Anolis sagrei: one gene and its partner. The protein of the gene in region 1 interacts with the protein of each later gene in a pairwise test. Links are inferred from orthologs where the notes say so. Each region holds a gene or a part of one and is shown on either strand. Other genes may lie near its edges.

Evidence for each region. The genes of interacting proteins can lie anywhere in the genome.
Region 2: the proteins of EXOC1 (region 1) and SH3BP5 interact in a two-hybrid assay, tested with the Homo sapiens proteins (2 studies listed by BioGRID and IntAct). The link is inferred for Anolis sagrei from reciprocal best matches to the Homo sapiens genes EXOC1 and SH3BP5.

Annotation. Positions count from the first base shown.
Region 1 is NC_090025.1:73,465,749-73,473,190, reverse strand, and holds the start of EXOC1 (exocyst complex component 1), read left to right. Parts: upstream 1-4,337; 5' UTR 4,338-4,435; intron 4,436-7,442.
Region 2 is NC_090026.1:80,094,300-80,101,685, reverse strand, and holds the start of SH3BP5 (SH3 domain-binding protein 5), read left to right. Parts: upstream 1-4,379; 5' UTR 4,380-4,556; coding exon 4,557-4,658; intron 4,659-7,386. UniProt on the Homo sapiens protein: Functions as a guanine nucleotide exchange factor (GEF) with specificity for RAB11A and RAB25. Inhibits the auto- and transphosphorylation activity of BTK. Plays a negative regulatory role in BTK-related cytoplasmic signaling in B-cells.

The DNA.
Region 1 (7,442 bases):
GCATTTCTGCAAATTTTGTGTGGCATTATTAAAATGACATTACACCTTGTTTATACATTGAGCAATTGTAGCTCAGGCACCTTTATATTGCGTTATTACAATAATAGTCTGACACCATAGCAATTTAAAAAATATTATTTTCTTTCAATTGATTGGAAATCAACCAACATGAATAGCCCTTGTCCCAAAACATAAAGTCCAGTTTCCAAAAGTGCTTGGGAATTTGTTATGGGTTTGCTGTCAGATTGCAGGTGCAGAGATGCTATTTGTAGGATCTAGAATTTCCTTGTAATATATGTTTTTGGCTATCCAAAATTATTTACATGGGTGGCTAGGATGTTGATCCATTTGATTTCAGATGGTTCAATGAACACAAACATTGGTAAATGTAAATAACACCAACCTCTTCAAAAATGTCTTAATGACTGAAATAGTTTAACCTTGGAGTTACTGAGCTTGCCCAACTTGCCAGATTGCATTTGGCTTCCTGAGTATTTGAGATAATAAATGCTTTACACAGGGATGTTATACAAACAAACATGTGGCAATATCTGTTTTATTTTATTTTTTAAAAACCCACAATAGATCTCAGTAATAGAGCCAGGGTGGTGTAGTGGCTTGAGTGTTAGACTACAACTCTCAAAAACCAGGGTTTAAATCACTACTTGGCAAATTACACTCCCTTAACCCCAGGATGGCAATGAATGACAAACCCCTTCTGAATGACTTTTGTGATTGGACAACATCTAAAATGACCAAAGGTCTGGAGACCATGCCTTGTGAGGAGCATCTTAAAGAGCTGGGTATGTTTAGCCTGAAGGTTGAGAGGAGACATGATAGCTATGTATAAATATGTGAAAGGATGTCATAAGGAAGCAGGCTTGTTTTGAAACCCTTGAAATTAGGACTAGGAGAAATGGGTTCAAATTACAGGAAAGGAGATTCCACCTGAACATTAGGAAGAACTATTATGCCAGCTCTACTGGTTGCCGATCTATTTCCAAGCACAATTCAAAGTGCCGGTTTTAACCTTTAAAGGTCTAAACAGTTCTGGTCCAGACTACATGTCCGAACGTATCTCCTACTACAAATTATCACAAAGTTTAAGATCATCTGGAGAGGCCATGCTCTTTATCCCACCGCCATCGCAAACGCGATTGGTGGAAACGAGACAGGGCCTTCTCAACAGTGGCTCCCCATCAGTGGAATTCCCTCCCCAAGACATCAGACTGACCACCTCCCTCCTGCCCTTTAGAAGGAAACCCAAGCCTTGGCTGTGGGACCTTGCACTTGACCATTGAACAGCGGCTTGTATGAAGAAGACATAGGCAATTTCAAAGTGACAATGAATGGACACGGATTTTAATTGGTGTGTTTTAACAACTGTTTATTTAATGTTTTGTTTTAATGAATGTGTTGATTGTTCTTATCATTATAATGGCACTGAATGGTGTTTGCTGTGAGGCCGCCCTGAGTTCCCCCTCGGGGGTGGAAGGGCAGGGTACAAGTATATGAAATAAATAAATAATCTTCATAACTGTAAGAGCTGTGGAACTCTCTGCCTTGGAGTGTGGTGGAAGCTCCTTCCTTGGTAGCTTTTAAACAGAGGCCGGATGACCATCTGTCGGTGGTGCTTCGATCATGTTTTTCCTCCATGGCTGAGGGTTGGATTGGATGGCCCATGTGGTCTCTTCCAACTCTATTATGTGATTCTATGGTCCTTTCTACACAGCCATATAACCTAGGATATCAAGGCAGATAATCCACAATATCTGCTTTGAAGTGGGTTAGAATCATAGAATTGGAAGAGACCTCGTGGGGCCATTCAGTCCATGAGGTTTCTGCCAAGAAGCAGGAATATTGAATTCAAAGCACCCCTGACAGATGGCCGTCCAGCCTCTGTTTAAAAGCTTCCAAAGAAGGTGCCTCCACCACACTCTGGGGCAAAGAAATCCACTGCTGAACAGCTCTCACAGTCAGAAAGTTCTTTCTCATGTTCAGGTGGAATCTCCTTTCTTGTAGTTTGAAGCCACTGCTCCGCATCCTAGTCTCCAGGGAAGCAGAGAACAAGCTTGTTCCCTCCTCCCTGTGACTTCCTCTCACATATTTATACATGGCTATCATGTCTCCTCTCAGCCTTCTCTTCTGAAGGCTAAACATGTCCAGCTCTTTAAGCCACTCCTCATAGGGCTTGTTCTCCAGACCCTTGATCATTTTAGTCGCCCTCCTCTGGATACATTCCAGCTTGTCAATTTCTCTCTTCAATTGTGGTGCCCAGAATTGGATACAATATTCCAGGTGTGGTCTAACCAAGGCGGAATAGAGGGGTAGCATTACTTCCCTAGATCTAGACACTAAACTCCTATTGATGCAGGCCAAAATCCCATTGGCCTTTTTTTGCCACCACATCACATTGTTGGCTCATGTTTAACTTGTTGTCCATAAGGACTCCAATATCTTTTTCACACGTACTGCTCTTGAGCCAGGAGTCCTGTTTCCTTCATTTCTTTCATTCTTTTCTGTACTTTGGGAGCATGTAACGGGAACCCTCCTCCCTGTATGAAAATTAGCTGGACACGAAAGCAGTTGAGAGCCAACCCTGACTCCAAGCCTGGATTTTGGCACTATTTAATCTTTTTGTTACTCCCACAACAAACAAAAAGTAAACCCTCAGTCCCTAGAAACTGCTCTCCTCTTCCAAGAGAGCATCACTCTTCCTTACCTGGAAGTGGGAAGCCTTGTTAAAATGCCTTGGAATGGAAAGAGTGCATGGCTGACTGGCGTGGTGTAGCCTGGAAGAGAAAGTGTGTGTGCCTGCAGCCAAACACCTCCAAGAACTTGCTTCCTAGATTTGGAAAGAGAGTGGATGTGCAGGCCAAAATCCCATTTGCTTTTTTTTTGCTACCATATCACATTGTTGGCTCATGTTTAACTTGTTGTCCACGAGGACCCCAAGATCTTTTTTACACGTACTGTTCTCTAGCCAGGCCTCGTCCCCCTCTGTATCTTTGCATTTCGTTTTTTCTGAGTGGAGTATCTTGCATTGGTCCCTGTTGAACTTCATTTTGTTAGTTTTGGCCCATCTCTCTAATCTGTCAAGATCAGAGCACTGTCAGGCCATTATATGGCACTGTCAGGCCATTATATGCTAATCAAGGTGATCAGTTGTAACATTCACACCTAGCTCCAGCAGACAAGAGTCCTTTGTCCCACCCTGGTCATTTCACAGATATATAAACCATTTTTCCTAGTTCCAACAGACCTCACTACCTCTGAGGCTGCTTGCCATAGATGCAGGCGAAACGTCAGGAGAGAATGCCTCTAGACCAGTGGTTCTCAACCTGTGAGTCCCCAGATGTCGTAGCCTTCATTTCCCAGAAATCCTAACAGCTGGTAAACTGGCTGGGATTTCTGGGAGTTGTAGGTCAAAACACCTGGGGACCCACAGGTTGAGAACCACTGCTCTTCCTTGCCGCCCTACATAAGAGCCATGCGTGACTTAGGGCCTTTTACTCTCGCACTTAAGACCTGGCGTTTTACTAGAGCATTCGATCTGTTAATTCTTAATTTTTGTATGTATGTATTTTATCTTTTATAATTTAGCTGTAAATCGTCTAGAGCATTCTCGGATGGAGGGCGATTCATAAGTTATTAAATGATGATGATGATGCTCTAGACCATGGCCATATAGCCCGAAAAAACCTACAACAACCCAGTGATTCCAGCCATGAAAGCCTTCGACAATACTTCAACAATACACTGTCAAGATAGTTTTGGGCTAAGTGAGTCTACACTGCCATATATTCCAGTTTAAAGCAGATAATGTGGGACTTTATACAGCTGTATGGAAGGGGCTGAGGATGTCAAACTGCCTCCTTTGCAAAAGAGAAACTGCAAAAAAAAAAAAAAAAAGAGGCCTCACAACCTCTAAGGATGCTTGCCATAGATGCAGGCGAAACTTCAGGAGAGAATGCCTCACAGTGGTTCTCAACCTGGGGTTCCCAGATGTTTTTGGCCTTCAACTTCCAGAAATCCTAACAGCTGGTAAACTGGCTGGGATTTCTGGGAGTTGTAGGCCAAAAACATCTGGAGACCCCAGGTTGAGAACCACATGGCCATATAGCCCGAAAAAATCCTACAACAACTCAGAAACTGCATCCTTTGCTCCTTCCCGCAAGGCTCTGCCACGACCGGAAGTGAGGAGAGACACCCAGCACCGGAAGTTCCAATGTGCGTCCCTCTCTAGCGCCAGAAACTCGTCTCTCCCTTTTCCCCGTCTCCACAGTCTGCATGGACTTCCGCTTCCTTGCCCTGCCCACGCGACTGAAGCAGGCGCTGCGATTGGAAGACGGGGGATGGGGAGGCGGGTCTTTCGGGGCTGGGCGTGACAGGCGTCTCTGGAGGCAGCGGAGGGGCCTCAGTCCTGGCTCTGAGGGTAAGGAGAGCAGGGCGGGGAGGGAAGGGCCCTGTGCCAGGCCAGCCAGAGGGCTTTCTGTTGTAAAGCCCTTCCCCTTGTTTTCCTTTATCTTCTTCATCCTCTCTCTCCAAATGTGTGTTATGTTCGTTGGAGTCTTTTTCTCCCCAAGGTTTGCTTAGAAGAGGCCTTCCCTTCCTCTGAGGCTGAGAGGGTGTGACAGGCCTAAGGCCTCCCACTGGGTTTGCCATGGCCTTCACAGTGAAGAAATAAGGCATTTGACACCACTTGAACTTTAACTACTATGAAATTATGGGAGTTGTAGTTTTACAATGTCTTTAGCCTTCTTTGCCTGAGAGGGCTGGTGCCTCAACAAACTAAAAAAGATTGCATAACCATCTGCATTGATTCGACAGTATGGTTCTATCCATAATCCAACATTTATTTATTTCTAGCACTTTTACCCCGTCCTTCTCAACCCCCAAAGGGGGATTCAGGACGGCTTACACTTGGCAACAATTTGATGCCGTTACATATAACAATACAATAAAACAACAATTAAAACAATAAGTAAAGCATTAATTACAACCATAAAAACAGTAATGTCAGGCATATCACCATTCCAGTCGAATTCCACATCCAAAGTGCTATTATGCCTGCTGTCCAAAAGCCTGGTCCCAGAACCATGATTTTAATTTCTTCCTAAAAAAAACAGGAGGGATGAGGCCGATTTTATCTCGTTGGGAAGCGAGTTTCACAGACGGGGAGCGACAGCCGAGAAGGCCCTGTCTCTTGTCCCCACCAGATGCATTTGCAACGCTGGCTGGAGAAAAAGCAGGGCCTCCCCAGATGATCTTAAACTGCGAGGTGGAATGCGTTCGGACAAGTAAGCTGGGCCAGAACCATATAGAGCAGGGGTCCTCAAAGTAAGGCCCGGGGGCTGGATACGGCCCTTCAAGGTCATTTACCCGGCCCTCGCTCAGGGTCAACCTAAGTCTGAAATGACTTGAAAGCAGAAAACAACAACAATCATATCTCATCAGCCAAAAGCAATACCACACTTCCCATTGAAATAGTAATAAGTTTATATTCGTTGAAATTGTTTTTCATTTCAATTATTGTATTCTTTTAAAGTTTTTTTCCCTACTACAAATAAGATATGTGCAGTGGGCTTAGGAATTCATTCATGTTTTTTTCAAATTATAATCCGGCCCTCCAACAGTTTGAGGGACTGTGACGTGGCCCTCTGTTTAAAAAGTTTGAGGACCCCTGATATAGAGCTTTATAGGTCAAGACCAGCACTTTGAATTGTGTTCGGAAATGGACCAGCAGCCAGTGGAGCTGACACAGCAAGGGGGTGGTATGCTCCCTGTATGTCGTTCCAGTTAGTAATCTGGCTGCCACTCATTGGACTAGTTGGAGATTCTGAACAGTCTTCAAAGGCAGCCCTATGTAGAGTGCGTTGAATTAATCTATTCGGGATGTAATAAGAGCATGGACCACCGTAGCCAGATCAAGATACAGGTGCAGCTGGCGCACAAGTTTTAACTGTGCAAAAGCTCCCCTGGCCACCACCGAGATCTGGGGTTCCAGACTAAGCGATGAATCCAGGATCACTCCCAAGCTGCAAACCTGCATCTTCAGAGGGAGTGTAACCCCATCCAATACAGGCTGTAACCCTATGCCCTGTTTGGCCTTTCGACTGACCAGAAGGACCTCTGTCTTGTCTGGATTCAATTTCAATTTCTTAGCCCTCATCCAGTCCGACAGCTGCCAAGCACTGGTTCAAGGTCTGGATAGCCTCCTTAGTAATGGGTGGGAAGGAGTGACAGATTTGGACGTCATCTGCATACAGATAATATTGCACTCCGAAACTCCAGATGATCTCCCCCAGCTGCTTAATGTAGATGTTAAACAACATCGGGGACAATACTGAACCCTGAAGGACTCCACAAGACAATGGTTGTGGAGTCGAACAGGTGTCACCCAGTAACGCCTTCTGGGACTGTCCCTCCAGGAAGGACCAGAGCCACTGCAAAGCAGTACCTCCAAGTCCCATTCTTGTAAGGCATCTCAGAAGGATACCGTGGTCAACGGTATCGAAGGCCGCTGAGAGGTCCAGCAGAACCAACGGACACACTCCCCCTCTCAAGCTCCCGGCGTAGTTCATCTACTAAGGCGACCAGGGCTATTTAGGTTCCATGTCCTGGCCTAAAGCCAGACTGCCAGATATAGATAATCGGTGTCTACCAAGAACCCCTGGAGTTGTGAAGCCACCACACATTCCATGACTTTGCCCAAATAGGGGAGATTGGAAACTCACATTCAAACCACTACCCTAGGCATGGGAAAACGTTGGCCCTCCAGGTGTTTTGGACTTTAACTCCCACAATTCCTAACAGCCTACATTTATATGACACCCTATATTTGTGTGTGTATTAACATTTATTTAAAAACTGTCCATATAAAATATAGGGCCCATTTTTAGGGAAGCTCAAGGAAAAAATACAGGTTATGTAGCCACAAAATTCATTCATCTGAGTTACGGAGAGTTTGGTATGTTGAGTGGCTTAAAATAAAGGTGGAGAACTTCTGTATCTCCAATTTTTTTATTCTGGAAACTGAAGTCCCAAAATTTCTGGCAGTTCAAAGGGTTCCTCATGTCTGGTTAAATGTATTAATAGAAAACAGTTTAAATTGTTTTTACATCAGTGCTTTTGGCCTTTATAAATGACTAAAGATGATGTTTGCTTTAAAACATGATCAAGTCTGTCAAGTTTTACGACTAGGTTTCCCACATTGCCATACGTTCTGATTTTGTCACTAGTAGATGATACGGTTGAGATATCTGTAGCCTAAAATCAAAAGTTCAGATATTAAATTCTCTTGAAGTATTTAAATTTTACTCAGCCTCTGTTCAGTGTTTGCTTTATTGGGTGTGGGTGATAATGCTTAAAATAAACTTGAAATTCTGTAGTTACAGTCGAATTCTTTATTACTCTGCTGAGTGATCTGGGATACGATTATT
Region 2 (7,386 bases), on another chromosome or scaffold:
ACCGGGGGCCCATGAACCTTAAACCTTAAAAAAGTTTGAGGACCCCCGATATACCATCATCCCGACTTGTAGTGTTTATGCCTCTGTCGTTCATGAATGAATGCAACCCCCTTTTAAGAAGAGGGCAGCCCTTGCTATATCTTGTCGCCATGAGTTCCACAGTTTTCAATCACAGTGGCGTGGTTGTGATACTTTCAAAGGGATCACTGCTTTGTAATTGTAGAACTAGGATGAGCAAAGAGGAACTTAAAAGCCACCGAGAAATAACAAGATTGTGTGAGAGAAAGCAAGCCGTTCCTGTTTCTCAATAGCAGTTCAGTGGGTAGTTTTGAAATGCATGAGCTTGTCACAACAAACTGCGTAGCCACATCCTCAAAGAATGGCCAGAAAATACAGGCAGGTGTGTTGATCAACAACTTCGTTTTGGCAGTTTATCCCAACCTAAAGGAAGTCTTTTAAAAAGTTAAAGGGTCCTAATGGTTCTTTTAAGACCAAGCCTCGTCAAAATACTCTGCAATGGGATTTGACCATTTGATTATTGGGTTGCTGTGAGTTTTCTGGGCTGCATGGCTATGTTCCAGAAGCACTCTCCTGATGTTTTGCCTTCACCTTTGGCAGGCATCCTCAGAGGTTGTGAGGTTTGTTGGAAACAAGGCAAGTGGGGTTTATATATTTGTGGAATGTCCAGGCTGGGAGAAAGGACTCTTGTCTGTTGGAGGCAAGTGTGGATGTTGCAGTTGGCCACCTTGATTAGCACTGAAAAACTTAGCAGCTTCAAACTTGGCTGCTTCCTGCCTGGGGGAATCCTTTGTTGGAATGCTTCTGGAATACGCCATACAGCCCAGAAAAATCACAGCGACCCAGTGATTCCAGCCATGAAAGCCTTCGACAACGCAAACACTACAGAGATGTTAACCCTTCCCTAGGCTATCCAAAGCTCTCTCTCTCTCTCTCTCTCTCTCTCTCTCTCTCTCTATATATATATATATATATGTCTGGAGTTACACTTAAAATGTACCTGTTCCCACTTACAAATTCAACTTAAAACAAACATATAGAACCTATCTGATTTGTAACTTAGGGACTGTGTGTACATTTGTTTTTACATAGTGGTTGGAGCTCTGTGGTTTTTACCCCATTTGGATCCCCAGATGTTATTGAACGACAACTCCCTCTTTTTATTGTATTCTGAAAAGTCTTTATATATATATATATATATATATATATATATATATATATATAAAATAACCTTAAAAAAACCCAGTTTCTGAAGTATAGCAACTACTTTCAAAACAATTACCCAACAATTAAACAGGAAATAAAATTTTCAAACCAGGAATAGATTTTTTCCCTCCAGATTTTGTTAGATAGTGTTATCTGCTATGAGGACTGGGGATAATGGGAATTGCAACGTATTAAAATAGGCCTGACTAAAACTATACTATGCCCCTGTGTTTCAGAGGTGGGGGAAATTTCTAAGGGATTTTAAAACCAGACATCATCCCACAAGCCTTTTATCTCATTCCAAACCCCACACTCCTGATTAAACAGAGCAAACTGTTTCATCTGACCAAAATGTACTATATCACAACTTCCAGCTTTGGTTATAATGTCTAATTTATGAAGAAAACAGGACTTGTTGTTGTCGTCCAGCATCGGGAGAGAGCCACATAAAAAGACAGAACAAAGCCAGGGCCTCCTTAATAATAATAATAATAATAATAATAATAATAATAATAATAGCGAACTGCAAAGACCCTGGCACAAACCAGTAAAGGTGGTCCCAGTGGTGATTGGCACACTGGGTGCAGTGCCTAAAGACCTTGGCCTGCACTTAAACACAATTGGCACTGACAAGATTACCATCTGCTAGCTGCAAAAGGCCACCCTGCTGGGATCTGCATGCATTATTCACCAATACATCACACAATCTTTCCATCTTGCTCTTCCTTTTTCCTTCCATTTTCCCCAGTATCATTGTCTTCTCTAAGCTTTCCTGTCTTCTCATGATGTGGCCAAAGCACTTCATCTTGGCCTCTACTATCCTTCCCTCCAATGAGCAGTCGGGCTTTATTTCCTGAAGTATGGACTGGTTGGATCTTCTCACGGTCCAAGGCACTCTCAGAACTTTTCTCCAACACCACAGTTCAATTTTTTCTTCGCTCAGCCTTCCTTATGGTCCAGCTCTCACATCCATAGGTTACTACGGGGAATACCATTGCTTTAACTATGTGGCTCATAATAATAATAATAATAATAATAATAATAATAATAATAATAACTGCAAAGACTCTGGAACAAGCCAGTAAATGTGGTCCCAGTGGTAATTGGCACATTGGGTGCAGTGCCTAAAGACTTTGGCCTGCATTTAAACACAACCGGCGCTGACAAAATTACCATCTGCCAGCTGCAAAAGGCCACCTTACTGGGATCTGCACACATTATTCGCCGATACATCACACAGTCCTAGATACTTGGGAAGTGTCCGACGTGTGATCCAATATAAAAGCCAGCAGAGTGATCTTGTTTGCTGTGGACTCATCTTGTTGTTTTTCTAATAATAATAATAATAATAATAATAATAATAATAATAATTTTTAAAAAAGATTTTAACGATATATTTTAATTGAAATAACTTGGAATAAAAAGAATGAGCTTTGGCAATAATGACATTCAAAATTTTTTCCCCACCCATGATAAATTACATTTTTGCTATGTAGTCAATTTGTTATGCATCTCCTTAATCAGTAGGTTTTTAAAAACATATTTTCTTATGTTATAAACACAAATCAATAAGCTAAATTTCAAGTGTTACACATATAAATCCTGAGTAATTCAACAAATATTAAAGACATTATGCTAATTTACACTGGTGTAGATTACATTATCCCCACCTTCCCTCCTCAACCACAGTATATTTCTACTAATCTTGCAGATCCAGCCACTTGTAGAGTCTTTGTATTTTTTCTTTGATGTGATCGTTGGCTCTTCCATTTTTCACCCAGTTGAAGCAGACCTTCCATCTGTTTATAATTATCTTTTCTTCATCCATTCTTGGTGCTTGGTTAGTCATAATTCCCGTAATATCTAACAACACTCGGTCATACATATAATCATTCCAATTACTTAACGTCCATTTCCATTTGTCTTTCCATCCTCTAGCAATAATAATAATAATAATAATAATAATAATAATAATAATAATATATTTTGAACCTGCCCTCTCTCCCCGAAGGGATGCAGGGCAGCTTCCAATACAAAGACAAATATTCAATGCCATATACCAGTGTTTCTCAACCTGGCTGGGACCCTTGGGGGGGGGGGGGGATTGTGAGAGGATGTCAGAGAGGTCACCAAAGTCCATCAGAAAACACAATATTGTCTGTTGTTCTGTGTGGGAAGTTTGGCCCAATTCTATCATTGGTGGAGTGACCCCTTAATACAATTCCGCATGTTGTGCTGACCCCCAACCATAAAATTATTTTTGTTGCTACTTCATAACTGTCATTTTGCTACTGTTATGAATCATAATGTAAATATCTGATATGCAGGATGTATTTTCATTCACTGGACTGATATGCCCAAATTTGAATACTGGTGGGGTTGGGGGGGCGGGGTTGATTTTGCCATTTGGAAGTTGTAGTTGCTGGGATTTATAGTTCACCTACAATCAAAGAGCATTCTGAACTTCACCAACGATTGAATTGGGCCAAACTTGGCACACAGAACTGCCATGACCAACAGAAAATACTGGAGGGGTTTGGGTGGACATTGACCTTGAGTTTTGGAGTTGTAGTTTGCCTACATCCAGAGACCATTATGGACTCAAACAATGATGGATCTGGACTAAACTTGGCATGAATACTCAATATGTCCAAATGTGAACACTGGTGGAGTCTGGGGAAAATAGTCCTTGACATTTTGGGAGTTGCAGTTGCTGGGATTTATAGTTCACCTACAATCAAAGAGCATTCTGAACCCCACCAATGATAGAATTGGGCCAAACTTCCCACATAGAATCCCCATGACCAACAGAAAATACTGCGTTTTCTGATGGTCCTTAGTGACCCCTCTGACACTCCCTCGTGACCCCTCCAGCGGTCCCGACCCCCAGGTTGTGAACCACTGTTCTAGAGCCTCTTAGATTGTAGACAAACTACAAACCACAGCAACTACAACTCCTAAATGTCAAGGTCGATTTTCCCCAAACTCCACCAGTGTTCACGTTTGGGCATTGCCACAAACAGTCATAAAAACACTGCACAATAAAATTCCCTCGGCAGCAGGTGGAGCAGGCGACAGAAAGAGCAGCCGCAGCCCAAGAGTGAGGCTCAGTTCCTCCGCCTTCCTTCCTTCCTTCCTTAGCGGCACCTAGCGGCGAGGAGCGGGAAGCATAAGCAGCGCCGCAAAGGAGAGACAGAAGGGGAAAGGAGAGGCAGGCAGAGCGTGGCAGAGCGCTTGTTCTGCCGAAGGAGCGGATTTGGGGGGAGAAAGACCCTCTTCCCCCCCCCCCTTCCTCGCCCTTCCTCGCCAGAAAGACCCCTCTTGCGACCGACATGGAGCCTGCTGCCAGGAAGAACAAGGCGGAGGAGGGCGAGCAGCCACAGCAGCAGCCGCAGGAAAAGGAGGAGGAGGAAGAAGTGGACCCCCGGATCCAGGTAAAGGGGAGCGGGAAGGGGCTGCAGAGGACCCCTGAAGGAGACCCTTCCCCAATGGCTGCTTGCTGGGTGTGTTTTTGCGGCAGTGTCAGCGTTTGGATGAGCCTCCCCTTTCTTCTCCCCTTGCAGCCGCGTGCCAGTCCAGCCCAGTCTCTTGCCTTGGGGGCGTCTCCCTTCTCCCCCATTCTCTCTCTTTCTGGGGTTCGGGAAAGGAAGCCCCTCCAGGTATTTTGGACTTCCAACGGATGTTAGGAATGGTGGGAGTCCTGGAGGGCCCAGGTTTGCCCAGGCCTGGTGTAGATCCACTTAAGGTGCTTAGGCGTTAATAGGCAGCAAGCCTCATCACCAATGCCTCTTCCTTCTATCTCTCTATCTCTATCTAAAAATGTAATGTTCCTTTGTGGGGTTAACATAACTCCAAAACCACTGGACAAATTGCCACCAAATTTGGACAAAATATACCCACTACCCCTAGGAGTGACCATCACTCAAAACAATGGATTTTGTCATTTGGGATTTGTAGTTGCTGGGATTTACAGTTCACCTAAAATCAAAGAGCATTCTGAACTCCACCAATGATGGAATTGAACCAAGGACTCCCAAAACCAACAAAAAATTCTGGAAGGGTTTGGTGGGCATTGACCTTGAGTTTGGGAATTGTAGTTCACCTACATCGAAATGTAATGTTAGTTTGTGGGATTAACATAACTTCAAAACCACTGGACGAATTTACACCCAATTTGGACAGAATACGCCTAACAACCCAATGAGTGACCATCACTCAAAGACTCCCAAAATCAACAAAAAATTCTGGAAGAGTTTGGTGGGCATTGACCTTGAGTTTGGGAATTGTAGTTCACCTACAGCCAAATGTAATGTTAGTTTGTGGGATTGACATAACTCCAAAACCACTGGACGAATTTACACCAAATTTGGACAGAATACGCCTAACAACCCAATGAGTGGCCATCACTCAAAAAAAAAAAGATTTTATCATTTGGGAGTTGTAGTGACTGGGATTTATAGTACACCTACAATCAAAGAGCATTCTGAACACCCCCAATGATGGAATTGAACCAAACTTGGCACATAGGACTCCCAAAATCAACAAAAAAATCTGGAAGGGTTTGGTTGGCATTGACCTTGAGTTTGGAAGTTGTAGTTCATCTACATCCAGAGAGCACTGTGGACTCAAACAATGATGGATCTGGACTAAACTTGGCACAAATACTCCATATGCCCAAATATAAACACAGATGGAGTTCGGGGAAAATAGATCTTGACATTTGGGAGTTGTAGTTGCTGGGATTTATAGTTCACCTACAATCAAAGAGCATTCTGAACCCCACCAACAATTGAATGGGGCCAAACTTCCCACACAAACCCCCCAAGACCAACAGAAAATACTGTGTTTTCTGGTGGTCTTTGGTGACCCTTCTGACACCCCCTTGGGACCCCCCCCCCCAGAGGTCCCAACCCCCAGGCCTTAAGGCCATCCAGTCCAACTCCCTTCACCAGGGCAAGAAAACATATTAAAAGCCCTCCTGACAAAGAGCCATCCAGCCATATATAGATAAATAATATAGATAGATAGATAATTCACACACACACACTCATATGTATATGACAGATATAGTGTCATAGATTTGAAAGGGACTCCTAAAGAAGGACAACAGTATGTTCCAGAGTAGGCAAACTAGACAATCTCTACATCAACACTGACAAAGAAACAACAAGAAATACTGTTTATCCACAAGCAGAAAGAAATTACATATATTAGAAACCAACACTTTCTCATTACTTTATTTTCCAGATCACTAGACTGGGCCACAGCAACATGTGGCAGGGGACAGCTAGTCTATAAATAAAAATGTAATGTTCGTTTGTGGGATTAACATAACTCAAATACCACTGGATGAATTGACACCAAATTTGGATATAATACACCTATCAGGCCAAAGAATAACCATCACTCATAAAAACATTGAAAATCAGAACGTAAGGGACATAAAATCAAAAAAATAAAAACTACATAATAATAATAATAATAATAATAATAATACTTTATTTGTACCCCGCTATCATTTCCCCAAGGGGCTTGGTGCGGCTTACATTAGGCCAAGCCCACAATACATTACAACGCATGCACAGAACCACACACACACATATATATGCAAACACACATGTATACACATATATACAAATATATATACACACACAAAACACATATACATAGACATGGCCACAGCAATGCATGGCAGGGGACGTCTAGTAGCAGTATAAAATGTCACCACAACAGCTTGTCACAATGCTTGAAATCTGCAGCCTGAAGCAGCCGCCTCACCTGGGTCGGCTGCCCTACAAAGTGGACTTTTGTTGGAAATGGAAATAACAGGAAAGGTTAGAGTAGGACAAAAGAGATGCCACGTCTATAAGGTGCACTACAAGAACATTTGAAGGTGGCGCATGTATTTGTGAATGCGTATCCAGAAGAGACATGCATTGTCTTGCATCCAAAGTAGATATACACTTGGGAACAGGTGTAGTGAAAGCTCAGGAGCATCACAAGTGATGAAATGCATGTAATGACTTAACAACTATTTATTAATTTATTTATGGCATTTATAAACCTGCAGTTTCTCACCCCAAAGGGACTCAGAGCAGCTTATGATATATATATATATATATATATACACACACACACACACACACACACACACACACACAT